Linked DNA regions of Rattus norvegicus. The protein of the gene in region 2 binds, or shares a complex with, the protein of the main gene of each other region. Links are inferred from orthologs where the notes say so. Each region holds a gene or a part of one and is shown on either strand. Other genes may lie near its edges.

Region 1 (15,698 bases), on a different chromosome or scaffold from region 2:
AACTTGTGTATGTGTGCGTCTAGGTGTATATGCATTTATGTGTCAGGGTACTCACATGTCACACAGAGCACATGATGGTCAAAAGTCAACATGGTTCTCTCCTCTACCATGTGTGCCCTAGGGATCAAACTTAGGTAGTCAGGCCAGTTACCCTCCAAACTGAGCCATTTTACCAGTGCTATTTTGATTTTTTTTTTTTAATAAGCTTGGTATCTGACAGGGAGTAAAGATTATTGAATTTTGTTGGATAAAACAAACTGTACTTGTTGACCTAGCCACAGAGGCATGGCACACAGGCATTCCTAACTAATGAAAATCAGCAGGCTTAAAGAAAGGGGCTCCAGAGACAAGAGGGTCACTCAGGGATGCACACCTGGAAAATGGCAGCTACCTGGAAGGATGATTGGGTGGGACTGGGAAAGCTGTCACTCTGGGCCAACTTTTACGTAGGGCTCAAGGAAAGGGTGTCCCAAGGTTTCATGTTGCATTTCTGTCCCACAGGTTTCAAATTTACTCCAATCAGTCTGCGCTGGAGTCTCTGGCAGTGAGTTGGGGATGGCATTGGGTGGGTCCAGGTTTTGCAAGAGGGCCGCTCACACAAACCTGTATGTGCATGCGCTGTCTGTGTCCCTTTTCCCTCAGCTGATCCCACTGCAGGCCCCACTGAAGACGCTGCTGCAAATCGGAGTGATGCCTTTGTTGAATGGTAGGGGCTGAGGGTGGGAGGAAGGAGTGGGGACAGGGAATAACAGGGGTGGAAGGGTGTGTGGGGGGTTATGGGGTAGTGGACACGATGACGCCGACGGACTGATAGACGCCCAGGCTGAGCTTGCCTCTTCCATCTACAGAGCGTATCTGGCGTGGGGTGCAGATCCCCCTCCCTGAGGGTATCAACTTCGTGCATGAGGTGGTGACCAACCATGCAGTAAGTACATTGTGGAAAGGAGGATGTAGACCAGGGGCTTCCTGTCCCTACAACACCCCAGTGCTATCTGCTTCCTCTAAACCCCCTAACACTAGCTACTCCCTCCTTTTTTTTTAAGTAGTAAAGGACTTACACTGTCAGGGAGCTGGGGCCCCTGAGGAGATTTGCTCCAGAGTCCTGCGTTTGTTTGGACGATGTCTCCAAACTGAACTGATCAGTGAGCCTCCCTGTCCCCTCCCAGGGCTTCGTCACTGTTGGGGCTGACCTCCACTTTGCCAAAGGACTTCGAGAAGTGATTGACAAGAACCGTTCTGCCGGCGGCGCTGACACTGTGGACTCCAGTGTCCCTCCACCCTCTGCTGCAGCTGCCTGAGCCCTTCGCCCGCCCCTCCTGGGCAGCTGGCATTCAGGAACTGAACTGAGGCTTCTCAGCACCTCCTGCCCACCCCTTGCCATCAGCCTAGTGGTCCCAGTGCCACAGAGAAGAGCCCAGCTGGAAGCTATACCCGATTTAATTCCATAATCAGTCAACCATCAATTACAATCCATCCAACCCTCTCCTTGGGCTTCTCTAGAGCTCTGTTGGGGTCCTGGGATGGGGCATTTTTTATGCAGACCAGGGAAAGCCATCCTATCAAAGCCAGAACAAAGTGTTCATTTGGTCCCAGACTGTCTGTGAAGCCCCAAGGCCCAGGCTGGGATGCACAGGGCTGTAGGAAGCCTGGGCATTTTTAAAGCAGGACTTGCCCCACGGGAGCACTTTGCATAAAGGAGGAGTCCTCGACATCGAGAGAGGCTTTGAGGGTCTGATCAGGTGCTGAGGACTTCCATGGGTCCTCGAAGCTATCAGTAAGGCTCCTTGTTCAGGAATCGAGAGAACATGGTAAAAGCAGCTCGAGGCTTGTCCGTGGGGACCATGTGTCCGGCACCCTGGAGGGCAAAGCTTGATGAGATTTGGATCCCCAACATGATTACCCCTCACTTCCGGGCACTTCCTTCACCCCTTCCTCTCTTCACCCCACACGCTCGCCCGACGAATCACAGGTGACCCAGAATGAGTGAGGACTGGGAGGTCATGCCACTCCCCCCTCTGGCCCCAGCTGTCCCTCAGAGTCCTACCTTGATGGTGAGGAAGGTAATGTGTGAGCATTCCTTCACAAAGCCAGCTACCTGCTCTCCACTCTCCCCGTAGTCCACTAGCCAGGGCCGGCGCTGCACCTCCATCTATCCCACCGGGAAAGACGATAGCCAGTGGCTCCCACCATCTTTGCTCAAAGCTGCTTTTGAGACTGGAGACTCCTCTCCAGGTTCGCCCTCTCCCAGCACACCAGCCCAGCTACCCCAACAGCACTTTACCTTCTGGTTGAGGGAATCCACAAACCACTCATCCCCCATGAAGTTGCAGGCCATGTCCACATCGCCATTGTAAAGCAGGATCTGGTATTTCTGGAGTAGGACAATGGGAAAACAGGAGTGTGGGCTAGGCCCAGGCTCTCTAGCCCTTCTCTGGTTCAAGCCCCAGGGATTCAGAAGCCCAACTAAGAACAGAAACCTGAAATTCTCATGCTGTATGCTACACGTCCAATATGCACCTACCAGATGCTTTAATAAATAGGGGGGAAGTTACTATGCCCCATATAAGACAGTCTTATTGTGGAGCCCAGACTGGCTTAGACCTAAGGTCTCTCCATCTCCCCAGGGCTGAGCTTACTCTGAAGACTCATTGTGGCTCGCTCATTAGCCTCCTTTTACAGAGGGAAAACCATAGCTAGGAACTCTTCCCAGAGCCAGACGTAGGTAGGCATACATCGAGATAAGATTGTTATGAGTTCAAAGCCAGCCTGGGCTACAGAGCAAGACAAGTCTCAGAATAACAATAACATAAAACAACCAGGGCGTGGCTGCAAGCGCTACCGAGATGCCCCACTCGATGCATTGTTACTCTAGAGCCTACAGCTACACCGGCTGGAGGTGGGTGGGTCCTGCTGTGCCGTGGACGTTTACCTGTGAGCTGAGCAACTTCAGGTACTGGGAGTTCATGCTTTCGTAGAGACGGCGGTACTGTAAGTTCACCATGAGGCTGTCGGAAGCATGCGCGTAGGATGCAGGGAAAAAGGACAAAACGGGGAACTGAGCAGGACAGTCGACAGGACAGTCAGACATTCCCGATTCCCAGCTTCGGTATATCAGTTCTCTAGGACTTGCTTATCTGAACGGGAGCTGGCGATGTGTGGGCATAGTTTTCGGCTGTTACAATGATTGAGATACAACTGGTGTTTGGTGTGTAGGCACCGTCGGGTGTGACTGTAATGACGGGAACGGAGAAAGGGCACCAGCCCATCACGAAACATTTAACTGGGCTCCGATGAGCTAGGGTGACCTTTTTATTTAAAGGGGCTCAAGGATGAACTGGGCAGCTCCAGGTGGCAACAGAGCTGTAGTCAGGACAGTGTCTACTCATTAAATGTCAGAGATAACTAGTTATCAACTAATTTTCACCCCAATTTTCATCTAAATGTCCACACCACCCCCTCTTGGAGAAGCCCTAGTAACAGGACCCCTGCGAACCCAGCTGATGGCCACCTCCTACACCACGAGCAGTCACAGAAGCTCACTTGCACATGTCCCAGCGGGGCAGCGACTCCGGGATGTGGAGAGCCTTCCGAACATATGGGTTGTTGAGGTAGGTGGAGGGGGCTGTGGTGTTGGTGCATGGAGGATCCAAGCGTACCTTGTCCCCAGACCGAAGCAGTAGAGCCTGAGGGCATGGACATGGGGTGACCGTCCTTAATTATTTAACCCACCTACTCCCCCAGGGAGAGCCCACACCCTTGCATACCTCAGGAAATCTCCTCTTGAGTGGCAAGCGAGTGAAGATATTGCCAAAATCCTGGACTACAAGTGTGTCCTCAGACCTGTCGGAGATAGACAGACAGACAGACGAAGAAAAATTATAGGATGGGTGCTGGGCCTCTAGAGGCAGTAGATATGGTCCAAGGCACACCCAGCAGCACTTACCTATCACGGCCGGGTACCCCACCAGCACACGGGGCGTAGAGATTGTATATGTTGAGGCCAGATTTGCCCACAATTCGAGACACTTCCTGGAGCTGTGAAGACGGTAGTCCTGTTATTCAGATCCATATCCCTTCAGGACCTTCCCTACTCACCCTCAGGATTAAGTGATCTCCTACCTACCTCATCTCCCTCCCGACACCGCCCTTTACCTACTTTTTTCACAGGTAGAAGGCTCATTGGAAGGAATCTTCCAGATCTGGGCCCAGTCCTAACTCTACTCTCTGCCAAGTGGCTTAAGCATCCTTGGCTTCAGTTTCCTCCCTGGACTTCCCAGAGGAGACCACAGTATTGGATAGATTTGGGACAGAAAGCCGAGGGGGTGAGTCGGCAGAGTGCTTGTCTTGCATGCATGAGGCTCCCCATGCATGCTCCCATGTTCAATCCCCAGAACGGCCACAAAGGGAAGCCACGGAGCTAGAGAGCTAGGTTCCCAAAGAGAGGTTTGTGTGATCCATTTCTCGGGACTGGGGTGGAAGGGCTGGCACAAAGACCAGGGCAGAGGCTCACATTGTTTACACAATCTGGATCTTTGTTGTCATAGAAGTTACACTTGTTCTGAGAACAGCAGTGGGTCTGGAGTGAAGTCCAAAGCCTGCGGATCAGAGAGAGCTGAGGCTGAGCAGAGATGCTAGGAGATACAATAACCTCCCTCCCCGCTCCCATCAGACCCTGACTCTGGTGGCGGAGAGGAAAGACGTGTAGGCTACCAAACCTAATTTCCAAGGATTTGTCCCCTAGTCCATAAAAGTAGCCCCAAGCTCACCCCAAAACTGGCGCCTTTTTAAAAAGAAGAAAAAAAATGTTTTTGAGAGGTTTTTCTATGTAGCCTGGGCTCAATCTTAAACTTACTATGTAGCACAGGCTGGCCTAAAAGTCATGATTCTTCTGCCTGGTTCCAAGTGTGGTCACCATGTCTAGCTTCTTTAGTTATTTCTTATAAGTACACTGTTGCTGTCTTCAGACACACCAGAAGAGGACATCAGATCCCATTACAGATGGTTGTGAGCCACCATGTGGTTGCTGGGATTTGAACTCAGGACCTCTGGAAGAGCAGTCAGTGCTCATAACCACTGAGCCATCTCTCCAGCCCCTTTTAGTTTCTTTAAATCCTAGTCTTTATTCTTGGCCATCAAACCCTTTGGCCAACTCCAGCCCCTACCTGCTTATAAACCAAAGCAGGAATAGCATGGGCTGAAGGACAGGTCTGAGATGGCATGACCTGCCCCACCTTAGACGTTGCCCAACTGTCCCTCTCCCATTACCTGTTCCCCAGAAGACCATGGTAGTAGGCAAAGTAGACCAGGGAGTTGTCATTCTGCTCATAGGAGGAGAGTCCATTGCCCACAGCCAGCCCCTGTGAAACACCCAGAGGGCTCAGCTCATCCCAAGGGCGAGAGCAAGGGGACCCTCCCTTGACCTACACTCAGACCTGCAATCTAGAAGCTGAAATCCAGAGTGGCTTGTGGGTGTGGGTGAGGTCATTCAGTCTAGAGAACAGAAGTGGCAGCCTGACAGGTTAGCTTCCTGTAGTAGGAGGCATTCGAGCTGTTGGAGTAGCCAGTGGCCAGTTAGTAGGCTGTGAACGAGCGGCTAAGCTGACCTTTCTAATCCTAGGTCACACCATCATGGTGCCTCCCTTCACCTGAAGGTTCATGCTGGGATCCTGCATGACCAGTACAGCCAAGGTGGGGATGTAGATGCCAGCATAGCTCTCTCCGGTCAGGAAAAGTTTGTTGTCCTTGTACTCCGGAAAGAGGTGGTAGAAGTCTTTAAGGGCTTGATAATTGTTCTCAGCCACCTGAGGATGACATGGAGGAGTCAGGTGACATTTAAGCTAGAAAGCTGCGCAGAGATAAGGAGTCCAACTCATTTTATTTTGTGCAAGAGGAAGTAAATTGGTTATGAGCTTACCACAGAGCACGTGACAGGGCCAAAAGTGGACTCTGAGGTCATGCTCTCCCCCAATCAAGCCATCTTGGGGAGAAATGGGGAATGGGGCAGGTGGTCAGGCAACAGACTCACCTCTGTGTCATTGGTCACATACATCTTGTCATCCGAGTAGGAGAAGCCCACCCCAGCTGGGGACTCGATATACAGCATGTTGGCAATCTAGGGGGAGGAGGGAATGAGTGGAAGAGGGTTCCACACCCCTTCGAGTACCCAGACACCCTTACAAGACCCACAGCTCCAAGCGTACCAGGTTCCAAGAATAGGGGTTGTACTCCAGGGTGACACCATCTGGCTGGATCTGGGGAGGAAAGAAATAGCCCCTGTGAGTCCCAGTGAATAGCTGGGTGGAGAGAAAGGGCCACCGTGCTTTATATATTGTCACACTCCAACAGAGGTACAGAAAGTTAGGCCAAGGGTCAGATAAAACAAAACAGAATTGTTAAGAAGGAAAGCAAACTTAGGACACAGTTTCCTTCTCCCCTCCCCTTTCCTGCCTTTTCCTTGAGGAGCTGCCTCTTCCCAGTTCTCCCTCACAGGGGAGAGGGGCAGTGGTCAACTCACCAGGAAGGGACCGTGCTCTGTAAGTAACCCATCTAGGGAGCTGCAGCCAGGACCCCCATTGAGCCAAAGCACCACGGGGCTGTTCTTAGGGTCGTTCTGCGATTCCACAAACCTAGGAAAGGCACAGGGCGGGATTGGTACAAGTAAGAGGCCCAGTCCTGCCAGGGGTCGTTAGAATTCGTCTGCCCAGTTATCATGCCCTCCTGGGGAGCTAGGGCGGATCACCAGTAGTGGAAGTGCTTGGAATCCGATGCTTTGAGATAGCCGGAGTACTGCCGGAAAGAGGGCTGCTTGGCCAGGCCCGGGAGGCAATCGATTTCATCCTGGTCCGGAGCTGCTTCGTCCCGGGACGCCCAGGATAGGAGCAGCAGCAGGAGCAGTGGAGACAGTGCTGCTCGGGGCATCTGCGGAAGGAAGCATCGGTGGAGGATGTTTACCAGTTCCCCAGATCCTTTGCGCTTCGGTGCTGCGGTTCCTGGGGAGATGGCGCACATCTCCGGGGGAAGGCCCCACCCCGGTCCAACTCCCGGCCACAGAGACACGATCGCTGCCCACCAGTCCGGGCATCTCCGTACCTCTGCTTCCTTGTGTCCTTGCTCTCCTGGAGCCGCCTTTGGACTGGAAGTCATGTGTAGTTCTGGTCACGTGAGCTTCTGCAGCACGTGACAGCTTGCTCAGCGTTCACTTTTTTTATCTGAGGGTCGGGGGCGGTCAATTACCAGGTCAAAGTGCACAGCCCAAAGTGCACAGTCAGGGTGCCAGAAATCAGATGATTTTGGTGTTGACAGCAAAGTTCCTCAGGCTCGTGGGGACCCCTTACTGGTGATATGCCGAGAAACGGCGCTAGGACCCCCGGGCAGAGCCGGGGAAAGTTAGACAAGGGGGAAATGCCTTACATGGTCCCCCCGCAGTCACCATCTGAGCCCGCCGCCCAAAATAGCCCTTGGCATGAGCTGGCCTGCTTAATGGCGTGGAGATGGCTGCTCCCTCCAAACCTGTAGGATTGGGTGGACCACGGAGCCCTGCGTGCCCGGAGCCCCCTCCCACCCGCTTCCACCAAGTGCACGGAGCCAACATCCGGATGGACCCGTCGGGGACGCGAGCCACACGCGTGGAGAGTTTCGCCCACGGTGTGTGCTTCAGTCGCGAGCCCCTGGCCCCCGGTCAGGTATTTCTAGTGGAGATAGAGGAAAAAGAGCTGGGCTGGTGCGGGCATCTACGTCTTGGCCTGACCGCTCTGGACCCGGCCAGTCTGGCTTCTGTACCCGAGTTTTCACTGCCTGACTTGGTCAGCCTTGGCCACAGCTGGGTCTTCGCTATCACGCGCCACCACAACCGTGTGCCCCGGGAAGGTCAAACAGAAGCAGAGGCAGCGGTCCCCAGCGGTCCCCAAACCCTACTCGTCGAACCCTATTTGCGCATCCAGCAGTTCCGAATTCCCCGGGACCGTCTGGTGGGCCGCAGCCGCCCAGGGCTTTATAGTCACCTCTTAGATCAGCTCTATGAACAAAACGTGCTGCCTCCCACTGCGCGCCGTAGCCGCCTGGGTGTTCTCTTCTGCCCCCGTGAGGATGGGACCGCTGACATGCACATCATCATCAACGGAGAGGACATGGGTCCCAGCGCCCGGGGACTGCCAGCTGCTCAGCCCCTCTACGCTGTGGTAGATGTGTTTGCCTCCACCAAGAGTGTGCGCCTGGTCCAACTGGAGTATGGCTGTAGGTATCCCACCCCGGGAGGGACCTTCTTCTGGTTCAGGGTGGAGACAGGCACCGGCTAGGACCCCCACAGCCAGCTAGCAGGGCCTTGGACTGTCCAGCCGTAGTTTTGGCCTCACCTCGGGCTTGTGAGTTTGCACACATCACACCTTGGCTGTGGGCCGGCCTTGGTGTCCTCACCTCAGCTGGTTGACTGAGACACCCTGCAGGTTCTTTTGGTTTGAATGATGTTTCAATAATAGGGTAAGGGCGTCTGTGTTTTTTAAATTTTGTCCTAGCAACCAAGTCAGGGTCTCATCGGTACTAGGCAGGCACTGCACACCCCAGCTTGATAGGGATTCCAAAACCAATTTTTTAAATTTTTTTAAAACATTTATTTATTTATTATGTATACATCATACAGCTTTCTGCCTGCATGTATGCACCTGCAGGCCAGAAGAGGGCACCAGACCTGATTGTGAGCCACCATGTGGTTGCTGGGAATTGAACTCAGGACCTCTGGAAGAGCAGTCAGTGCTCTTAACCTCTGAGCCATCTCTCCAGCCCCAGCCAAAACCAATTTTTGATCCGAGACTTCTTGAGAACTTGACGCATTTACTTTTGGTCTTCTGAGAACAATTCACTCGGGAGACAAGGCTCCTCTGGAATTCAGTAAGTAGCCCAGGCCAGCTTCCTACTTTTGACAATCCTTTCTGCCTCAGCCTGAAGAGGGTTGGGATTAGCCTTGAGTCACCACATTCCGCTATGAGTTGTGTGTTTTTATTAGGAAAATATTCTTCTGAGATTTAGGCCTATGGGTTTGGAGCCATCGCAAACTCCAGATTGAGAACTTTTTTTTTTTTTTCTTTTTGAGACAGGGTTTCTCTGAGTAGCCTTGGCTCTCCTGAAACTCAGATGGACAACTTTTAAAATCAGAGGTCTGGCTCACTGTAGCTCAATGGACCTTTCACCTATATCTCTGGTCATGTGTCATGAATCCGTTGAGCTGGAATCTGCTGTTACCGTGCTGTGGTTGCATAGACGGAACAGACAAAGCTGCTGGGTTAAGGGAGGAGGGTTAGGCTGTGTTATAATGGCAGAGGGTCTGATCAAAGTCCTCGGAAAGAGGTGCTATGTCAGCTATACAAGCAGCCCCGCCAGGCAGGCCGAGCCTGAGAGCAGAAGGTAATTCCCAAGTTGACGGCAAATGAAAACCCAGACGTAGATCTCAGTTCCAGTGTTACCTCCCCCAGACCCCTTTGCCTTTGACAGTCATCTCTCCACAGTGCCGTCTCTGCAGACACTGTGCCGTCTTGTGATCCAGAGGAGTGTGGTACACAGGCTGGCCATTGATGGGCTGCGCCTGCCCACAGGACTGAAGGATTTCTGCAAGTATGAATGAAGGCCTGTCTGTGGCCACCAGAGCAAAGCGGCCGTCGTGCGTCCTGCCGCCAGAGCAGTGGCTGGTCTGAAGCTGGTCACACGGCGGCACACAATCAGGGCCAGAAATAAAGAGAGCTTATTTATGTTGGAGTTCTGAGCATTGGAGGGTCTCCTTGCCTCTGCAGCCTTATGAGAGGCGCATGTAGAGATGCCCTGTCAGAGAAAGTATTTTAGAACCTGTCTAGATCAGGGCCTCCTAGTGCGCACACTCCTTTGAATTATCTGGGACACTTGATGAGTGCCAATGTGCCTGCCTCTCTCTCCCTCCCCCCTCTCCCCTCTTCCTCCTCTCCCACTCCCCCTCCCGCTCTCCCTCTCTGTCCTTACCTCCTCCCCTCAATATTCTCCTTTGGTGTGCGGTTTGTCAGGGAATTGAGCCCAGTCATCATGGATTTTTGTTTTGTTCTAGACAAGGTCTTGCCAACCGTATTCTGAGATTATAGGCGTGAGCCTCCATGGCTGACTTGACACTGTTTTTTTTTTTTTTTTTTGTAAAAGCCCCTTCAGAGATTCTAATGCATGGTCAGAGTGGAGAAGCATGTCCTAGATCAGGGGTTGCAGCTTGGAAAAAGATGGTAATTTTTCATTGTTTTGTTTTTGGTTTGAGACACAGGATGATCCTGAACTGTGGTAATTTGATCTCAACAGGAGATTACAGGCATAGTCTACTATTTCTGGCTTCCTTCTGCCTTTTACAGTACTAGGGACTGAGTTTAGTGCCCTGTGTTTGCAAGGCGAGCGTTGTACCACCAAACCACAGGCCCTGGCCTATCCCCAACCCCCTCCCCTTTAAGGACAGGGTCTCAATATGTAGCCCTGGCTGGCATGTCACTCACAAAGATCTGCCTGTCCCTACCTCCTGAATCCTGGGATTAAGGTGTTCGCCACCTTGTCCAGCTGCCAGCCCTCTTGTTGTTTATCCTTTAGGACAAAGTTTAAGTTGCTTGCACTGGCCTTAAACCTGGGGCCCTTCTGCCTCGGCTTCCCAGGCAGCTGGATTCTGCCTGTTGCATCAGGCCTGACTATAATGTCTTTAAGAAGTTAGAAATATTGACACATAAGTCTGCCCCTGGGATTCTATTAGCTGATCTAAGATGGAGAGGGGCCCTAATGTTATTCGAAATGTCCTAGAGCCTGTGCTGACCACCAGTGACCTGGACCAAACATTTTTTCAGAGGCCAAAAGATGAGAATATATTTGTCTAAAAACAAATAGCAAATGAATATTTTATTTTATTTACTTGAAGATAGGGAATTCAGCCTGTAGATCAGGCTGGCCTCAGATTCAAGAGATCCGCCTGCCTCTGCCTCCCAAGCACTGCCATTAAAGGTGTGAGAGCCACCATGCCTGGCTCCAGCAGGTGATTTAAAAAACTAACAAAAGCAAACAAACAAAACCCAGGGTCACCTGTACCCCGGTTTGCCCTCAGACTTGCTTCATATAAAATGGTGGGTGAGCTTGCATTTCTGATCCTCCTGCCTCTACCACATGAGTGCTGGGTTGCAGGCCTGTGTCCCACGCTTGGTTTCTGTGGTAGCAAGTGATTCACTACCTTGACACAAGACACAAAAGCCCTGGACTCATTTCTCTGTATGGGTGGTTGCTGGCCGCCTCGGGCATCTCACCTCACCATCACAACTCCTGGGGAGTCAGGGGGCAATGTCGCTCCCATTTTGCAGATGAAGATACTGAGGAACAAAACTGTCTAGGTGGAGCAAGGTGTGGTGACACCACACCTATATTCCCAACACCTAGAAAGCTGAGACAGGAAGATCAGGGGTTTGAGGCCAGCCACACAAAAGCAAACACAGGCTGGGCATGGTGGTTCCTGACTTGTAAGCCCAGCAAGTAGGAGACAGGTCTGGAACAGGAAGTAGACCACAGGGCTTTCCGGGTCAGCCGGGGCTAAGTAGTTTGATCCTGTCTCAACAAACAAAACCAAGCAATCAAACAAACCCTGGCACAACAAAAAACAAAACACGCACAGTGAGAATGTCGTTCTGAAGTAGTTCGCTCCTCAGACCGGCAAAGTCCCGGGTTCTAGCCCCAGCACCAGAGAAATGCAAGACAAAAAACTACCTGTCCAGGTGGATGCTGACCAAGATACTGACAAAAGCTGGAACTTCCTGATCCAGGGCCAGTGCCCATTTAATCCCTTCCCATTGTGACATGTACGTTCCATAATGAACAGGTTAGTATTGTGAGGTAGGGTCCGGGTGTAAAGGCGACTATGAGGTGACACTGTAGAAAACTGGAGACGAGGGCAGGAGGAATAGGACTATTCCCTCACAAACAGGGACTCTGGGGCAGCCATGTCCTACTTCACCTCTCCACAAACTCATCTGGGTCTTCTGCCTTCTGGCCAAGGTGAGAGGGGTTCCTGAAACTGGGGGTTGGGGAGACAACAGAGCTTCCCACGTGAAGTTGCTTCCTGGCTTTGGGGGAAGTGGAGCTTCTCCTGAAAGCTTTTAGGCTGACCCTGGAATCAATCCTCTGGAAATTATATCCAAAAGGCCTTGCCAATTGCTAATTATGCACCCGCTCACTTAAACACTTCCCCAGCACCTGCAGTATCAGGACTGGCTGGAGTTATGGAGATGAGTAATTGCTTACATTCCCAGCCTCAGACTGTCCTCTTGGGCTTGTTCCGATTGCCTCTGGTCCCAGGCCCTGCCCCTCAGGGCCTCTTCCTCCAAGAGACCAAGAATAACATTCCATTTCATTCTTGTCTCTGCAGGTGGGGCTGCTTCTTCGGGTTCGTCCCTTGGCCTCTATAGTCCTGCAGAGCCAGTGCTGGTGGCACCTGGTGGATTAGGCCCACTGAGCCAGAAAGCTGAGCAGGTGGCACCTGCTGCCCAGGCCTGGGGTCCCACCTTGGCAGTGCCTGAAGCCAGGGGCTGCCCTGGGGGTGTTAGCTGGGAGACACCTCGGAGAAAGGAACACAACCGATACTGCCCCAAATTGCCCCCTGTGAGGCAGCTGGAGAGCTTGGGCTGGGCAGACCCCTGCTCCAGAAGCAGAGCTCCTCCCTATCTGAGTGGCCCTAGCAGGCCCCGGCCCCTGCTGCTGTGTGGGCTGTCACCTGGGGTTCTGCCAATATCCTCCGAGGCAGTGGGGAAGGAGGCCAGCTCCCAACCTGACATCTGCATCCTTACCCTGGCCATGATGATCGCTGGTATACCTACTGTGCCTGTGCCAGGCCTGCGGGAAGAGGACCTGATCCGGGCAGCTCAAGCCTTCATGATGGCCCATCCAGAGCCAGAGGGGGCTGTGGAGGGGATGCAGTGGGAGCAGGCGCATGCCCACATGGCTTCTGGACAGATGCCTTTAGTGAGATCCAGGAGGGGCTCCTGCTTGTAGTCAGATGAAATAGCATGAGACACAGGGCGGCTTCTCCGTATGGTTTTTGGGCAGATGAGGTTGGGAATGGCTCTCTCTGGCTGCGATGGGAAGAGGGTGTGGGTAACTGAGCCACCCTGACAGACTGCACGGCTGGGTTAGGACCACTCTGCAGGAAGTTCTTCGTGCCACCACAGATCTGAGCAGATAAGGTACCTACCTAGGAAGCCCTGTTGGGAGAGTAGAGAAAATTTTCTGTCTAAAGTCCTAGACAATGTGGATTTTCCTCTTGCCTTGTGTCCCAGTTTGCTGAGGGGAGATGGCACTGTAGACGAATGATGGACACTTGGCTGAGTCAACAGACTTGTTCTTCACTCCAGCCAACCCTGTGGGAAAGCCCACTCTACAGAGAAGCTGAAGCCTAGGGCGCTTCCTGGAGCCTCAGTGCCAGTAAAGGCAGAACCAGGCCTGCAAACCCTGGCAGGTAAACCAGAAACAGTCAACATCTCAGGTGGCACCACTGTGCCAAGGCTCCTCCTTTCACACCACAAAAGGACATCCATTAAACAGACAACAGGACAAGCACGGGGAGACAACATTCACTTTATTGATCCCATCCCAGGGTGGGACAGAACTGGGAACTCTGGCAGCCCCACCAAAGTAGCCTCTTCCTTCATGGAGAGTTCCAGGGTCAGAGCCAAGTGAGTCCCATCATGACTGAGCAGGAGTTACCAACACAGAACCTTCAGCCTTACCACCCATTATTTCCCTTAAGGAACCAGCTGTTTCCAGAAACTTCTTAAGTTACAAATCAATCTTACTTATGAAAAAGTTGTCAAAACTGAATCCAGAATGCACAACAGTGACTGTATTTGGCCGTCAAAGCCTGTGATATTTACTATTGAACCCTTAACAGGAAAGATTTTCTGACTTCTGTGGAGCATGACACAATCTAGACAAGAGGCTAGAGCAGAGCAGACTTCCGGAAGGAAGCAGAGTGTGTGTAGAGGGGCGGAAGTGAATGATCCTATGTACATGAACATGTCAGGGCACACATACAATCATAAGTTAGGCCTGTTGACACAGGCTTATAATCCCACTTACTGAGCAGGCTCGTTAGGAGGCTCACAAGTTCAAAGCCCGCCTGTCTACAGTGGGAGTCCAAGAGTAGCCTGGGCAGCCTAGTGAGAGGCTATCTCGAAATAAGAACTAAAGAGGCAGTAGTAGAAGAGTCCCTGCCTAACACGTGTACTACCCTGGGTTCAGTCCCCAGAACTGGCCATGCCCATGTGTGATTAGAGCTGTACCTGCTCATAAGGGCCGATCCAGCTGTCGGCAAGTTCCCGAAGGGTGCTATAGCGGCGCTCAAACTCCTCCTTGCTGCAGTGCTCTAAGAGCCGACCGACCTCCTCAGTGAGGAGGGTCACAGCCAGGTGCTTATCCAGGCTGGCACTCCACTTGCTGCCTAGGATACTGTCTAGACTGGTGGCACAGCCTGAGGTCCACTGAGTCTGCAGCATGTCAGGCTGGAGCACCTGCTGGCGGGCACTGAGCATGGCGAGGATGTGGCGGCAGGGCAGGTGGAAGGCTTGGTTAAAGTAGCAGCTGCAGCTGGCAGGGGACTGGGGCTGGACGTTGTGCGTGTCCTCCAGAATCTGTATGTTCATTTTTTCTGAGCCAGAGCCAATGAGATGCATGGACTTCTGGACTACAGCGAGCTCACCTAGGCAGAGTTGGGCAGCTGGCCCTGTGCAGATGGCATTGAGGGAGTGCTGGATACGGGCTTCTACCAACTGCTCTGTGTTGGGGTTTTCAGGGCTGGCATCTGAAGGAGGCTGACTGTCCTGGGGACTCTCCACCAGGCTGAGGTTTGCTTTGTCTGAAGGGTTCTGTTGCATGTATCGGAACACAGAGGCCATGCCTTGTTTCTCAAATGGGGTGGCGCCAAAAAACTGACTGAGGACGTGGGCTGTTACCTCCAGAGTCTGGAAGTATCGGTTGCTCTGGGCTCGGCTTCTCCAGCGGTGGGCCAGCCAGATGCGGTCATTGAGCAGCCAGTGTGAGTGGAGCTCAGGCAGCCTGCTGGGGGGGATGCAGGTATTCAGGAGTGTGTACAGCTTCCGCAGGTTGCCGGCCGTGGCCGAGCACATTGTGCTCTGCAGGGAGGACAGGAGCACACTTTGTACGGGCTGCTCCAGGGAGAGCTGATAGAACTTACCCTGGAGGAATTTACAAATATGGAAGGCTGAGAGCAAGACCTCAGCAGCAGGGAACTCCATGGTCAGGGTGGGCAGCAGGAGGAAGTGGGGGTCCACCAGAATGGTAGTGATTCTCTCCCAGGCTGGGTTAAACTTTTTGAACACCTGGAACATCTGGGCCAGGCCTCGGGCATCTTCATTGGTAGGGATGGCAAAGTATACTGCTCGGGCAAGAGGACCCTCAACCTGTACCCGGGGTCCATCCACCAGGAAGGTGTATAACACCTTGCCTCTTGGGTTGTAGGTCCGGTGTATAAATAAGACATCAGGGAAATGAGCAAAGAGGTCTTGCATGAAGCAGCTTTGGTAGTTGAAGGCATCTAGCTGAGGAGTCTTGCTAATCTGGTGCAGCATGGGTGGGCTGGAGTCCTTAATAAGTAGACCATTCAGCATTGTGAGGGCCATGGAGTGCTGGGAAGTGTCTAAAGCCCAGGCAAGGATCCTTCC
Region 2 (15,473 bases):
GTCGGAGAACAGCTCTGTGGAGTTCTCTCCTTCCACCATGGGTTTCAGAGATGGAGCTGAAGGGAGGCTTGTGAGGCGGCCTGCTGAGCCACCCGACTGTCCCTCACCACTGTTTTTTCCTTTCTCTGACGTCCCCAGATCGAACCCAGAGCCTCACACTTGCAAGGCAAGTTCTCTCTCAACCAAGTGGCAACCCAACCCCGGTCTGCTAATAGAAAAGCATTTGGCAAAGCAGAGTTCAGAGAGGACGAAAGGAGCCAGCTGTGGTGACGCATGCTGGCATCCAGCTCTTGGGAGGCAGAGGCAGGAGGATAACTGCAAGTTGAAGGCCATCTGGTGTACAAAGCAAGACCTTGCTTCAAAACAAAACAAAACAAAAACAAAAACCAAAAAACAAAACACCCGAAAGCCAGAACAGCAGATGTGCACACAGGTCACAAGACGACCGTATCAAAAACGAGACCAGGATGGGTCTAATGCCCCGAAGAGAAAGAACCAGAAAACGAGGAAGAATAGGAATGGCAGGAGTCAAAGGCTACCAGTAGCCTAGAGGATTGGACTGAGAAGGCATTGACTCAGTCTGCTGAAATCCAAAGCTGAGGAGAACAGAAAGGGCAGTCGTGACCCCAAGAGGGTTGACAGCAGAAATGGAGGACATGGATTAAAGGCCTTCGTGAGGTTGGAGGGGTGGCAGGTGCGAGAGGAGGTCTCGGGGGACAAGGTGCTGAGTTGTGGCTTCTCCTAGAATCCCAACTACAGATTAGCCCAGTGCGTTGAAATCCTCTCTGGGGTGGGTGGGAAATGAGACCATCACAGTATCTAGGCAAAGCTATTTCTTTCTCTCCTCCCCCCCCACCCCTCACCCCCCAAGACAGGATCTCATGTAACCCAGGATGGTTGCAAACTCACTACGAGCTTTGAACTCCCAATTTTCCTGTCTCTATCTACTGAGTGCTGGGAATTACAGGTATGTTTGCTTCATTCATTCATTCATTCATTCATTCATTCATTCGGGGACCAGATGGCGCCCTGCCAATACTGGGATGGGAGACAAGAATGAGTCAGTAACCTCCTGGACCCACTAGACAGCATCACACCAGAAAGACAAAAAGGTGAAGAATCCTCCATTTACGGAAGCAGAGTGTGCATAGGAAACTCGAGACACTTGCCAGGAAGGTGGCTCTTAGTATCACATGTACATCTGGGCTGTGCTGGAGGGCAGCAGGCCAGCCATCGACAGTCCCCCAGGTTGGCTCTCTAGGCACTTTTGCTTGGCAATGCTCCCTGGCAGGTCTCGGTGCACTGATTAACAAACATTACAGTGTGTGCCCACCGTGGGTACGGGCTCAGCGTTCTCTCAGCACAGCAGCCTTGAGGTAGATACAAGAAGTACGGCCATTTCTGGGATGACGGAAGCTAAGAATCTAGGAGGACTTGCCACTGTCAGGTCTCAACCCTCTCTCACAAGCAGCAGGAAGCCCCATTCCAGACAGAGGACTCTCAGCCTCCCAGATGTTCTTAAACACATCTCAGTAGAGCCTCTTCCTAAGCCCAGCTAGCTCTCGGCTCTGCAAAGGGCAATGTCTCTCTTGCCCCTGGCAAAGAAAGACTAGACCAACGACAGACACTGCACAAGAGAGCGCTTTGTTTCTTGTGGGTCTAGAAGCCCTGCGAATGACCCTAAGCTTCTGTGACCAGAGGCCAAGGTAGGGTTAGAATTCCCCCAAGCAGGTAAGACAGACCCTGCCTTTCCAGGGCCTAGGGCAACCTGCAAGGGCAGAGCTGGGTCAGACCTGGGGCAGCTTCAACTTTCCTATGGGTAGACGAGAAACCTCAGCTTCTCACCAAAATCTCAGACCCAAACCTGGCCTGATGGGTAGGAGGTGCTGACCTCAATGATTATTAAAGATGGCCTCCTGCAGTGAGAGACTCTTAGAGGGACCCCCTCATCTAGCTGTGAGTGAACTGAACCTGCCTCGTTCGAACAAACAAAGTGCCTCAAACAAGCAAGGCCCTTTGAGGGGAACGTGAGACTCTAGGGTCTTGTTTATCTGCACACAGAATCCCGCATCCGCTGTAACCTCTAAAAACATCAAACCATCGGGCTGCAGAATGAACTCCCTTCACACACTGAGTTGGAACCTGTCGTTGAGCACCTCCTAGGAAAGTATTTGTCACTGTGGTGTTTTAAAGATACCTCATCACATCCAGTGTCCTTCCTCACCCCCAAACACAGAAGCAGCCTGTCCTTAATTATCTCACCCAAAAACTACAAAGAACCAGGGACTCAGAACTGCTAAGTCCCTAAGGGACCGCAGTCGTCCCCTACCACAGTCCCCATGACTCGTTTTTCTAGCCATTCTGGTCCAACTACTCTGCACAGTAATCAGGACCCCTCAAGGTGCAGACAAGAAGTGCCCCATGATTCAATGGGGTTTGCCGATGTCCTCAATAAAGGTGACCTTCATTGACATGGAGGAAAGGGATACTAGCCTCTCAACACGGCCCATGCCCAAACCAACTATCAAATGATTCCAGAGCCCACCCTAACCATAGCTAAACCCACAGGAGACAAGTGTTCCTGCCCCTCCCTGAGTTTGGTCAAGAAGTGCCCTTCCCCGCCACCCCACACTCTGCAAAAGGACCCCCATCTCCACGGCAGCTGGAAAACAAATGCCCACTCCAGCATATGGGGCGGAGTGGACCCCCAGGTGTACGGTCAAAAGTGGTTCATTATCTAAAGAGTTGAGCCAGCCTGAATTTTCCAGGCAGCCTCACTGCAAATCGATGTTCCCCAGCAGGCTGTGCCCAAAGGGGGCTGGCAAGGTTAGGATGGTATAGGAGATGGACAAAGGTCATAGGCCAGGGCGGGGCAAGGCAAGGCAGGACCATCGGGCAGGCTTACGAAGCCCGCCACAGTATGAGTTCTGTGATTTCTGCCCTGCTCCCCAACCTCATGGGTATCCCATAGTAGGCTGTACCCGGGCTAACGTACACGAACGTAGCCTTGCCTACTTGGTAAAGTCCAGCAAAGAAAGGGTTCAGGAGATAGGCCGCAACATTCCAGGGGAAGATCTGCCCTGCATGAGTGTGCCCGGAAAGGATCAAGTTTATATCTGGCCGAGCCTGGAGGGCTCTCTTGGCAGCCAGAGGCTGATGAGCCAGTAAGATGGTGGCATGTTCTGGGCTGCAGCCTTCCAGAGCCTTGTCAAGGTCCATGCCGTGCCCAGAGTAGTGAAGGATGTCTGCTTCTATGTCATCCACACCTGCCAAACAGACCCATTCTCTCTCTCCCCCTCCACTGTCCGGGTCCCCCGAGGCAGAAGAAATCTTGACATTCTCATTATGTAGGGGCCGGACGTGCAAGGATTCCAGCAGTGTGAACCAGTTGCTGACGTCCGACGTATAGTACTCGTGATTACCCGTGACGAAGTAGTTGCCGAGACGGGAACGGAGCTGACCCAAAGGAGCGACCGCCGTCCGCAGGATAGAGGCTTCTGAATCGGAGAGGTCGCCCACGATCACCGTGATATCTGGCTCTAGCCTGTTCACCATCCTCACAAACATCTCCATCTTGGTCCTGCCCACCGTGGGCCCCAAGTGAATGTCCGAAAGGAGGGCGATCTTGAGGTTATTCATCGAAGGGGGCAGCTGGTGGATGGGCACCTCCACGGTTTTCACCAACGGGGGTTGGGCAGCATTCAGGAGGCCAATGGTACTGAGCACAGCCGTCACGGCCACCGCCAGCGCAGGCCTGAGCACCAGGTGCCTTGTCTTGTTAGGGCTGCCCACCACCCTACCACTGCGCCAGGCTAAGAACTGGTAGGCCTGCTCCATGGCATTCAAGATGCAGAGGAAGAATACCATGATGATGTAGGCGCCCAGGCAGGAGTAGGCTGCTAAGGAAAACAGGTAGGGTTCCTCAGCCACCAAGAAGAGCATGGTAAAGAAGCTGGAATGTGCCAGGGCCAGAAATGTCATGACAACCAGCTTCCAAAGCTGGAAACAGGTAGACTCCACAGCAGGGGGATGGCTGAGGTTGCTCACTGTACTCCGCCAGATGTACGAGGAACCAATGAGCAGAATCGAGTTCACGAACAGGGCCAGCTGCAGACGGAACAGCCAGCGCCAGGCCTGGAGCTCAAGGGCCTCCGCCAGGAAGGAGCGGGAGAGGATCATGGACACGAAGACTGTGGCTGCAGCCAGGGCAGCCTTGGAGCCCAGGGACAGCTGCCTGAAGAGCGCCATTCTCCCAGCGCCTGAGGAGTCCCCCAAAGCTCAGTGCTGGAAGACTCTGGGAGGCAAGTAACTTCCTGAGAAAGGACTGTGGCCAGTGAGAGACTTCCAGGTCAGCTCCGCCTGCAACCAGGAACTGGCATCAGCTTTATGGGATAGACCATCAGAGCATTCTTGTCCCCACTCGACCAAAGCCCAAAGACCACAGGCCACAGACATGGCTCCAACCTGCCTCAAATCCAAGCCACTCAAACACCAGTGAGCCACCAGGCTTCCTTATTGAAACACACCGCAATCATGACGTGAAACACGAGGGCGGTTTTCTTTTCCTTTTGTGACAGGTCTCGGGTAGTCCAAGCTGGCCTTGGATTCACAGTGTGACCAAGGATACCCTGAACTTCCAACCCTCCTGCCTTCACCAAACAGGTGCTGGGATTCCAGGCTTTACCATGCAGCTCTATGTGAGGATGGGCCCCTAGGTTCCATGCATGCTAGGCAGGCGTTCTACCAACCAAACCACATCTCCTGCTTCAGTTTCCACTGTTGTCTTAGTGTTTCAGCCGGTTAAAGGGTCCCCACAATGAATGGACATGAAACATTCTCTCTCTCTCTCTCTCTCTCTCTCTCTCTCTCTCTCTCTCTCTATATATATATATATATATATATATATATATATATATATATATATATATATATATGCAGAGTTTCTCTGTGTAGCCCTGGCTGTCCTAGAACTTGCTCTATAGACCAGACTGGCCTCCAACTCACAGAGATCCCCCTGCCTCTGCTTCTCTGAGTGCTGGGATTAAAAGCGTGGGCCAGCTGCCCCACCTCCCCAGGCTGTTTTCTTTATTTCTTTTTAAAGATTTATTCGTGTGCCTACAACACTCTGCCTGCGTGTATCCTGCAGGCCAGAAGAGGGCACCAGATCTCATTATAGATGGCTGCGAGCCACCATGTGGTTGCTGGGAATTGAACCCAGGACCTCTGGAGGAGCAGACAGCGCTCTTAACCTCTGAACCATCTCTCCGGCCCATTCTGTTTTTTAATAGGAAAATTACTATTTCAAATGATCCGCTGTTAGCGTGTCACCTGGGGGAAGTCTCACACGGGAGTCGTGACAATGGCAAAGCATCACTGCGAATGTCCTTACATGGAAACATAACATGTGAAACATTTTCACACTTCCAGTGAGTGCATAATACAGTTTTTCAAAGACACCAAAACCTGAGTTGACTGCAGACCGAAAACAGCAATGTAAGACTCTGATTTCTACGCCTGGGGACATAGCTCAGTTTGTAGGGCGCCTAGCATGAACAAAGCCCGGGTTCCACCCTCATCACCACAGAAACAGGGCACGGTGGTGCATGCCGGTACTCCCAGCATGCGAGAGGTGAAGGCAGGCTCGTCAGAAGTCCAAGGCTATGTCCGACTACATAATAGCAAGTTTGAGGCCAGCCCAGACTTCGTGAGAGCCTGTCATTAAAAAGCAAAGAATAGGTCTTCTCAGGCTGGAGAGATGGCTCAGCGGTTAAGAGCACTGACTGCTCTTCCCAAGGTCCTGAGTTCAAGTCCCAGCAACCACATGGTGGCTCACAACCATCTGTAATAAGATCTGATGCCCTCTTCCGGTGTGTCTGAAGACAATGTCAGTGTACTCATATGCATAAAAGTAAATAAAACTTAAAAAAAAAAATCAATCGGCCCTTCTCTTAAAGTAACTACAGTTCTAGCCAAAAACTGAGAGACCCTTCTTCATATAAGTGTACTGCTTGTTAATGTCCAATTGGTTTACTACTTCTTAAGGCAGGAGGATCTCTGACTTCCAGGCCAGGCTGCTCTACGGAGTGAGTCCCAGTTCGACCAGAGCTTCAAAGAGAAAGCCTGTCTTGAGAAAGCAAAAGCAGGGGGTTGGGGATTTAGCTCAGTGGTAGAGCGCTTGCCTAGCAAGCTCAAGGCCCTGGGTTCGGTCCCCAGCTCTGAAAAAAAAAAAAAAAAACAAAAAACAAAAGCAGAAGAAAAAAAAAAAAACAGACACATTTTAATTTTTAATCTAGCTCTGAAGTTTGAGAGTTAATGTTGCAAACAAACAAGGATAACAGAAAGCTAGTCGACTGGAATTTTTCGTTGGCTCTAATCTAAATGCTCAGGAGAGAGATCCATCTAAGATTTCCCGAGGATCATGCAGCAGCCTCTCTGGGTGGCGCTCTCCCAGGGCACCTCCTACTTCTTATCTGATGACTAACATCAAACCGGTGACCTCCATAAAACCTTATCACTTCTGCTCATCCTGACACTGAAGATTTATGGGTTCCTTTCTGCCCTCTCTACCCTACCTGTTGGAACCTCTGCCCACTGGTACTCAGGACGTCAAGCTCTGATGAAGCCGGCTGCACTCGATTTTCCTTTTCCTTAAATGAAAGCATTTTCAGCAACTGTTTTTCCAGAAACTTCAAAAAGTTTCAACTCTGGTTTCAGATAAACGTGTATCATTTCCAAGAGTGTAGTTTTTACACGTCTACCAGGCTCAAAGTCTACTAGCAGGTACTTGAACTTACCGCCCCCCCCCCCACTCAGTCCATCGGGGGCCTCAAGCTGACTCGCTCAAAGTGCAAAAGAGTAGGAGCCGCGTTCCACCACGCCCTGTCCTATTCGCAGGTTCCGTGCGGGCCTCCCCAGGTGCGTGTCCCACGCGCCTCAGCCACTGCCCTGCCACCCAGACCTCGCCCGCTGCAGTTTGCCTCTTTCCACCCTCGACCCGCACTGCCAAACCCTAAGAGGAAAAGGCTTCCAACAAGGCGATGCACACCTCAAACTAAAAGCTGCCAGCAGGTGGCTTAGCGAGAAACGTGAACAGTACGCTTGAAAAGGGAGAAGTCTCGGAAAGCAAATGTTCCGGTGACCCCACTGCAGGAGCCTCTCCTGACCCCATTTTTCTCCTTCCGGAGCGCTCTGTGAAGCCCGAACTCTGCAAGGATCGCGTCCCACGTCACTGCCCGCGGAGCCCTCTCGCAGCCACCAGCCTGGAGCCCCTCTCCCCAGAAACCGAAGCTGGAAAGACTCAGGCGCACCTCAGCTAGCCCCCGACCGCGATGCGCAAACCGGGAAGCAGGTCGGTCCGCAGGGGACAGCCGCAGCGGAACCCACGCGCGCCAGCAACCAGGAAGGACGCGCGCCCCGCCCGTCCGGCCCGCCCCTACGGGAGGCCCGGCCACTGCCTGCGCCTCGGCAGCCTGCGTGCTCCGAGGGGAGATGGAGGGTAACCCCGATCCCCACTTTGCAGAGCCGCGGCTTTCCTCGGCCTCTGCCCGCTTCCCAGCGGCGGAGCGTCCCCGCGCGGTGGCACCGGAGACTTACATAGAAACTGTGCGCAGCGCCCAGCAACTGCAGGAGCGCCAGGAGCGGGAGCAGCATACACAGGGGGACCCGGAACATGACGGCGCCGCGATGGGACCGCTCCACTCTGCAGTGGGCGCTCTGGCCAGCCGCTCCACCTCCGGGGGTTACTGAGGACCCTTTGCCAGGACCCGCCCAGGAGGACCCGCCCCCAGCTCCGCCCCACCCCGAGGCTCTAGGCTGGGAGCGAAGGTCCAGCCTCTGCAGGCCACGTGACTCCGGAGCCGCTGTGGTCTAAGCATCCGCGAGTCCCCCCGGAAGGGCGGATCTTCAGAATGAACTGTGGTGAAGCTCAGGGGCTGGCCAGCCACAGGGGCCTTCAGGCTGTCCTGGCTGCCAAAAACGAACTGAGCAGGGAAAAGGAAAACAGCCAGTCCTCAGTGCTCCGGGGAGTAGTCCTAGCCCCTAAAACTCTCCCTAGCACGTGGTCTAACACAAGGTGAGGTCCACCGGCCAGGCGACTTAAACCTGGAAATGCAGACTCAGCATCCCAGCCCTGAACCCAGCTCCAAGTTTCAGTGCAAGCAAAGTTAGAGAAGCACTGTGTTAGGTTATAGAGAAATTCCAACTGTGACTGAGCTATGGCCAAGTTATTTTAAACTGCCCTGAATTTTAATGAGAGTAATGGCACTTCTGTCAGTCAACTTCTTGTTCTTCCTGCCTACTGCCTTCTGGACGCTGAATTATAGTCATGGGCCACCACCTCTGCTTAAGTCGAGGTTGGTTTAAATATAGGTAAGTTTTTTTCCAGCGTTAGTGAATTGCAACCAATAACAATATTTATTTATTTTAGACATTGTCTCGTTGTATTTATTTATTTCACTTATCTTTGCCGTGCTCCGTGTGAGTCTCAGGTCCTCATTAATCTAGGCGAATACTCTACCATTGGGCCATACCCCTTTCTTTTCTGTTTTTCTGAGACTGCTTCTCACTGTTTATCCTTGACTAACCGGACAGGACAGGACAGGACAGAACACACACACACACACACACACACGCGTGCACACACACAGGAACATATATACACGACATAATATACAAATACATATCCTAAGTAAAAAGCAGGATCTCGAGTGGAACAGGCTGGGTGGCTGTCTTAGTTCTGTAAAACAGGGCCTTTATTATGCATCTCTGACCATCCTAGTCCACTCTCAGTCTGTTTTGATGAATAGAAAGTGTGTGTCGTTAAATTATGTTACGGCCAGACTAACTCCCTCACCAGATTTTATCACCAGATTCTAAATGATCTCCTGTCTTTTTCTCACCTGGGTCTCTGCTTTGTCCATGACGTTTAGTTCTGTCCTTGGTGGTCTAGGCCACCGTGTGGCAACTTACACTTGTAATCATTAAGGCTCCAGAGGCTGAAGCAGGAGGATTGCCACAAAAAAGAGGGTAGCCTGGGCTACATGTCGCTCTAGGTAGACATCTGTAGGCATCGTGTCTCTTAGTAATTTTCCACACATTACTTCTCCCGCCCCCGAGCTCCCCCCCACCACTGTCCACATGCTCATAATTGTATACTCTGCTTAGGGCCCAGACAGATCTCTCTCTCCTACTGCAATGGTGTCAAACCCTATTTCAGTAGTTGAATACAGTCTTCAAGATATAATGTGAGAGAATGAGTTTTTCTCGGGGCCAGGGAGATGGTGCAGAGGATTAAAGCCGTTGCTGTGTTGGGGTTGGGGATTTAGCTCAGTGGTAGAGCGCTTGCCTAGGAAGCGCAAGGCCCTGGGTTCGATCCCCAGCTCCGAAAAAAAAGAACCAAAAAAAAAAAAAAAAGCCGTTGCTGTGAAAGCCTGTTGTCCCATGAAAAGAAAAGGTTCTATCCAAGTCCAGCTTGGCAAGGTTTGAGTGTCCTGGGGTTAATTACTGGGTGACTGAAAAGCAGCTGCCCTGGAGCAAGTGCCACCCACACATAGAGAAGGACCGTGTCGCTGAGTCCTGACCCCCCAGGTCAACCTTCTACTTCCTACAGTGTCAGCATTCTACAAGCCCACTCTCAATCTGGTGACCCTTTCATTGACATGTGACCGTCACCATTACACCTACCTGGCTGCTTTGTTTTGTTCTATGGCTGCCAGACTCAGGTACTGTGTGGTCCCCTCAACAACGACTTCCGCTTCCTGATGGTGACCATGTCTTTCAAACGTTCGAAAAGGAAATAGTGACACCAGAATGTTCCACTCCTTCCCCCAACGTCTTTCGTCTTTCTACCACCTCATCGGCCATGTTTGATGGGGGGATGTAAGTATGACTCCGTTCTGCGCACTGGGACACTATGCCCAAACGTCAGCTCCCTATTCCCACGGTCATTCGTCGCCACAGTAACCTCCACCCACACACCAGAAAAGAGTTAACCTGGACCTCAGCTGAAAACTAGCCAGCCACGGGACTTTGCCCTGATGTACAGTACCAAACATGAATTTCCACTTCTGGAGTGGGCCTTACATCGCTTACGTCGAATCAGAAAGTAGTTGGTTGTACCCATAACTGTCATGCCTACCTAGAATGTCATGTCAACCTAGAATGACTATTGCCCACATGTTGGTGTCTTAGTCAGGGTTCTCTAGAGTCACAGATCTTATGGGTAGTCTCTATATAGTAAGGGAATTACTTACAGTCTGTAGTCCAGGGATCTAGCGGTGGCCCAGTCCCACAAGGCAGGCAGGCAAAAGAGAGAGACTCTGACTGACTTCTTCCAATGTCCTTACGTAAGTCTCCAGCAGAAGGTGTGTTCCAGATTAAAGGTATATACCACCATGCCAGGATCTGGGGCTTGCTTTGTCCCAGGCTAATCTTGAACTTAGAGATCTCCTTGCCTTTAGCTCCTGGGGGATTTATAGCCACTTTGCCTCAAGATCTCCATACCAAGATCCAGGTATCAGAAATTTGTATCTCCCAGCCTCAAGATCAGGATTGCGGGTGAGCCTTCCAATTCTGGATCATAGTTCATTCCAGATACAGTCAAGTTGACAACCAGGAATAGCCACCACATTTGCTAATGGGATATGTGGATCCAGAGGGGAACAGGGCTGACAGCAACAATTCTTAGCAGCTTGTGCAGTGCTGTGGTATTATTTATCCCAGCTGTATTAGTCAGGGTTCTCCAGAGTCACAGAATTTATGGGATGTCTATTTTGAGGGAATTTAATGTGATGACTTAGTCTGTAGTCCAACTCCCCAACAGTGGTCAGCTGTGGATGGGAAGTCCCACGAGGCTGGCTGTTTCAGCTGGTCTTCTGTAGAAGTAGGCTCCGACAGACGTGCTGGCGAGTAAATGCAAGTGGAGAACAGTGAATCTTCCTTCTCCCAAAGTCCTTGTGCAGGCCTCCAGCAGAAGGTGTGGCCCAGATTAAAGATGTGTCTGGATCTGGGACTTACTTTATCTCAGACTGACCTTGAACTCAGAGATCTCCTTGCCTTAGTCTCCTGGGGATTAAAGGCGTGTACTATCTTAGGCGTGGCCTACGGTTTTCATGGCCACTGTGCCTCAAGATCTCCATGCTAAGATCCAGGTCAGAAACTGTTTTCCAGCCTCAAGATCTGGATCACAGGTGAGCCCTTCAATTCTGGACTATAGTTCATTCCAGATACATTCAAGTTGACAACCAGGAATAGCCACTTCACCCGCCATCAGGAAGAAAGCCTCCAGCCCTGATGTCTCTGTGCCCTGTAACCAGAGGGTATCGTGTTCTGGCAATAACAATTTGTCATTCCAGTTCTGGTGTGCAGCCATCAACAACGGTAATAGCATTTACTATAGGTTCTCAGGGACCTTCTTAGCCAGCCAAGTACTCCTCCCTCGTAACTGGCGTTCTCACCTTATATCCCTGTGGCTTCTGGGAGTGTCTTTCTTACTTTAAAAAAATTATTTTACGCAAGGCCCTGGGTTCGGTCCCCAGCTCCGAAAAAAAGAACCAAAAAAAAAAAAAATTATTTTACTTTATGTGTATGGGTGTTTTGCCTGCATGCATGTCTGTGTGTGCCTGGTGCCTGCAGAGGCCAGGAGAAGGTGTCAGATCCCCTGGAACTGGAGTTACAGAACCTCCATGGAGTTCCTGGGACTAGAACCTTGGTCTTCCGGGAGAGCAGCCAGAACTTTCAACTGCTGAGCTGTCGCTCCAACCCCCTTTCCTCACAGAAAAAATGGTTGCATTTGCACACGCACGTGTCTCTGTGTGTGTGTTGAGTGTGTGTGTGTGTGTGTGTGTGTGTGTGGTTCCATACATGCCAAAGCACACATTCAAAGGTCAGACGACAACTTAGAGTAATGTGTCCTCTTCTTCTACTGTGTAGGTCACAGAGATCAAACCCAGGTTGTCAGTATGTTGGCAAGAACTTTACCCAATGAACCATCTTACTGGCTCTGTTTTTAATTTTATATATATATATATATATATATATGTTTATATATAAAATTATATATATGTTTATATATAAAATTATATATATGTTTATATATAAAATTATATATATATATATATATATATATATATATATATCCACTAACCCATCTCTCTGGCCACCGCCTGGCTGATTTTTAACTCTCCTTTGTCTGTTCTTCTGTTTGTTTGTTTGTTTGTTTGTTTGAGATAGGGTCTCACTGTGTAGTCCTGGCTGGCCTGAAACTCACTATGTACACCAGGTTGGCCTGGAACTCACAGAGATCCGCCTGCCTCCCGAGTGCTGAGATTAAAGAGTGTGCCGTCTGGGCTGGCTGATTGTTAACTTTAACTATTTTCTTTTAGATGTCTTTCTAGACTGTTTTTTAAAACTAAGGGTAGACTCCTGAGGCCCTGTCTTTGTTCAAGCCAGTATGGAGTGTTCTTGGGATTCAGTAGATGAAAGGATTTCTAAAAGAATATACTAGCAAGGTCCAAGACAATATGAAGAGATCCCACTGCATTGATTCTGTCAAAAGGGCAGTGCTAGGTAAGGTGGCTCTGGTGGGGCACCCACCGCCTTATGTAGCTCCCTGCTGTCTGTAGCCATTCATCATGGGCTGCCTGCCTGGCCTCTCCCTCTCCATTCACCATGCTCCGCATTGCCGTGGCTGGCCGGCCTCTCTGTTCACCACACTGACATTTTCAAGGGCTTTGGTCTAGATATGAATGCTCTCTCCTCACAGGCTCTCATTTCCTGAGCTGCACAGGATTGGGTAAAATTCGGTAATGGTGGGATGCAGGGTATGGTCAGCAGGAGACTCACCCTGACCCTGTTTCTTGTAATGAAGGATTGCATCCACCGTACAGGGAGAGATGGTGCTAAGGGACCAGCCCTAGGACAAGCATGGCTTTCACCATCTGTATCGTCCTCCCCCCCACATCCCTCCACTGCTGGTGCTTTGTGGGTACTGTGAGTTAAGGTACACCTTGCTCCAATACTGACTGAAGTTCCAGCATTCTGTATATCATTAGAAGGAGGGCCAATAAATCTGAAATTCAGTGTGGAGCCACTGTTGACCCTGGAATCGGCTTCATACGAATCTGGCCGCATTTGTTTGGGAGTGACCCTAGCAGGTCTCTGGCCCCACTCTGATTGCTTTTAAGCTTTACGAACTGGATTTGCTTCCTGGTCCAAGTTTTTCAGAGCTGCCGAAGACTCATCTATCCAATACATGCAAGTACAATGCAGCTGTCTTCACACACACCAGAAGAGGGCATCAGATCTCATTACAGATGGTCGTGAGCCACCATGTGGCTGCTGGGAATTGAACTCAGGATCTCTGGAAGAGCAGTCGGTGATCTTAACTGATGAACCATCTCTCCAGCCCAAGCCTTTCTTATCTAGTAAAGATAAAGCCTTATCCAGTAAAGATTAGGTTCCACTATAAGTCTAGGCAAAGCCCACTGAATTCATTTTTCTGTTAGCATTTTGTCTAGGCTCCGCCCCTCAGTTACCTGGCAACAGTCAGGTCGCCTGACTCACTATAAAAGGGGTTGGCTTGGCTCCTCTTAGCTCTCTTGTGTTCTTGCTCTCCTACTTCCCTTATTTCCTGGTTCCCCTACTTCCCCTATTTTCCCGTTCCCCTCCCCCACCCTTCACGTGCTAAAGACCGTGCTCTACTCCTTTGCTCTCTCTCCCTGCCTTTCTCTGTCTCTACTACCCTCTCACCTCCCCTCCCCACTCCCTGAATAAACTCTACTCTATAACCTACGGATGTGTGGCTGGTCCCTCAGGTGGAAGGGATGCCTTAGCATGGGCCCGCAGAGGCACACCCTTCCCTCACACCTTACAGCGCCTCCACCAAACACATTCCTTCTCTATTTTTATAAAACACACACCCCCTTTCATCTTTTTTTCCCCTAATTTTATTCTTATCTTATGTGTTTAGGTGCATGTATGTCTGTGTACCGTGGTGTGCAGTGCCCTTGGGGGCCAGCAGAGGGCACTGGGTCCACTGGAACTGGAGTTGGAAATAGCGTAAGCCGCCATGTGGGTGCTGGGAATCGATTCAGATCCAGTGCTCTGGGAATCAATCCAGATCCAGTGCCCTTCTCCAACTCTCGTGTTTCCTGTTTAGATAGGCTCTTACTATTAGACCAGGCTGGACATGTGACTGCTTCCTGGCTTCCTTACAGTATTGATCCACATGACACCTATCTGTGAACTGGCTGCAATTTAGTCTGCCAGCCATTTGGGGGCATCTGTGTAGAGCCGCTTGCTTGCTTAAGCCCTCAGGCTTAGTCACAAAAGTGAAGGGAGAGTGGTCCCTGAACCGGAAGAAGGGGACTTCTCTTTGACTGAGAGATGATCGGTGTCTCTAGGTTATATGTTATGTTAACCCAGCATGCATCATTCCATGATTCTGCTATAGTCACATGAAGTTATGAGTCTCACATACACTACCCCTTAGGTAGTTTGTGATGTCCCAAAGGTCACCTTGGGACAGTCATTTTCTTTATTGCACATGTGTGTGGAATACCCTACTGGTTTTACTTATCTTTTTTTCCTCACAAAATCTAAAGCTTCCGTTTTACCAATTGTTATGAAATATAATGGGTCAAGGGGGTGCGGGGGGGGCATGCCGAGGTATGTCCCTGAGTAACTCTGCCTTGTAACAGATCTGGTATAAAGGGGGTTTACTGGGGGCCTGGAGAAGGGTCAGAGGCAGCAGGTGATGATGTAAGCTAGGTCACTGGGCGGAGCCTAATGGAACCGCATGGAAGCTAACACGGATAAAGACTCTGGAGCCAGATGCTGGCATTAAAGTGTGCTAGGACTGAGCTACACCACAACTAAAAACAGGTTTTTCCAATGAACACGGTCTCGGGGTTCGCAGTGTGGTCAAACATCCTGCAACATTATCCCTGTTTTATGTAAATAAGAAAGAAAGGTTTTAATTCTAACGCAGCAAAACCGTTTACAATGACGAAGCTGTTTCTGCCGGGCTTTCCACGGTGTGCGGCTTGGCTGTGTTTGGCAACTTAATTACAATTATCTTTGAAAAGCAGTTTTAATGTCCTGAGCAGTTTCTAGCCCGAAGCTGCTCTTTGGGTGGTGTTTGCAAGCTTAGTGGCAATCCTGACTAGGTAGAACCCAGCAGTCAACCCAAAGATGTCCTCCGTGTGCAGAACCTGGTGACAGAAGCCTGGAGCGTCCTGCTCAGTGGTTAGCGTTGCCACAATCCACGTGGACTCATCCTTGCTGGGTCCCATCATCTTCTCAGAGACCTCAAAGGTTATTAGGGATGGTAGAAAACTTAAACATTTTAAATGGCATATTCAGCAGATCCAGAAAGGTTTGAGGACCCCAATCTATTAAGTACATCTGAGGTACACAAACTGTTTTCCTAGTTACCTGCTTCAGACACAAACCTGGAAACATGTACTGGAACCTAG

Evidence for each region.
Region 1: the proteins of Glb1 (region 2) and Ctsa are in contact, whole or in part, in a cryo-EM structure (PDB 7KDV), measured with the Mus musculus proteins. The link is inferred for Rattus norvegicus from reciprocal best matches to the Homo sapiens genes GLB1 and CTSA. Residues at the interface, in NP_033882.1 of Mus musculus: Tyr198, Asp199, Arg202, His206, Leu229, Thr233, Leu234, Gln235, Asp236, Leu237, Lys258, Phe259, Glu260; in NP_001033581.1 of Mus musculus: Glu29, Asp31, Ala37, Lys38, Gln39, Pro40, Ser41, Phe42, Arg43, Tyr107.

The regions. Positions count from the first base shown.
Region 1 is NC_086021.1:173,980,042-173,995,739, reverse strand, and holds Ctsa (lysosomal protective protein precursor), read right to left. Parts: upstream 7,298-15,698; 5' UTR 7,144-7,297; coding exon 7,090-7,143; exon of another isoform or gene 7,023-7,089; intron 6,919-7,022; coding exon 6,740-6,918; intron 6,627-6,739; coding exon 6,515-6,626; intron 6,252-6,514; coding exon 6,201-6,251; intron 6,113-6,200; coding exon 6,026-6,112; intron 5,802-6,025; coding exon 5,646-5,801; intron 5,358-5,645; coding exon 5,266-5,357; intron 4,596-5,265; coding exon 4,511-4,595; intron 4,036-4,510; coding exon 3,944-4,035; intron 3,841-3,943; coding exon 3,765-3,840; intron 3,684-3,764; coding exon 3,541-3,683; intron 3,006-3,540; coding exon 2,930-3,005; intron 2,372-2,929; coding exon 2,282-2,371; intron 2,150-2,281; coding exon 2,045-2,149; intron 1,856-2,044; coding exon 1,772-1,855; 3' UTR 1,420-1,771; downstream 1-1,419. Other genes in the region: Pltp (phospholipid transfer protein precursor), read left to right, coding at 502-544, 643-706, 849-925, 1,167-1,298; Neurl2 (neuralized-like protein 2), read left to right, coding at 7,491-8,232, 8,636-8,844; Spata25 (spermatogenesis-associated protein 25), read left to right, coding at 11,967-12,021, 12,392-13,014; Zswim1 (zinc finger SWIM domain-containing protein 1), read right to left, coding at 14,289-15,656. UniProt on the Homo sapiens protein: Protective protein appears to be essential for both the activity of beta-galactosidase and neuraminidase, it associates with these enzymes and exerts a protective function necessary for their stability and activity.
Region 2 is NC_086026.1:122,955,992-122,971,464, reverse strand, and holds the start of Glb1 (beta-galactosidase precursor), read right to left. Parts: upstream 7,748-15,473; 5' UTR 7,672-7,747; coding exon 7,594-7,671; intron 4,360-7,593; exon of another isoform or gene 4,249-4,359; coding exon of another isoform or gene 2,902-4,248; exon of another isoform or gene 1-2,901. Other genes in the region: Tmppe (transmembrane protein with metallophosphoesterase domain), read right to left, coding at 2,902-4,248.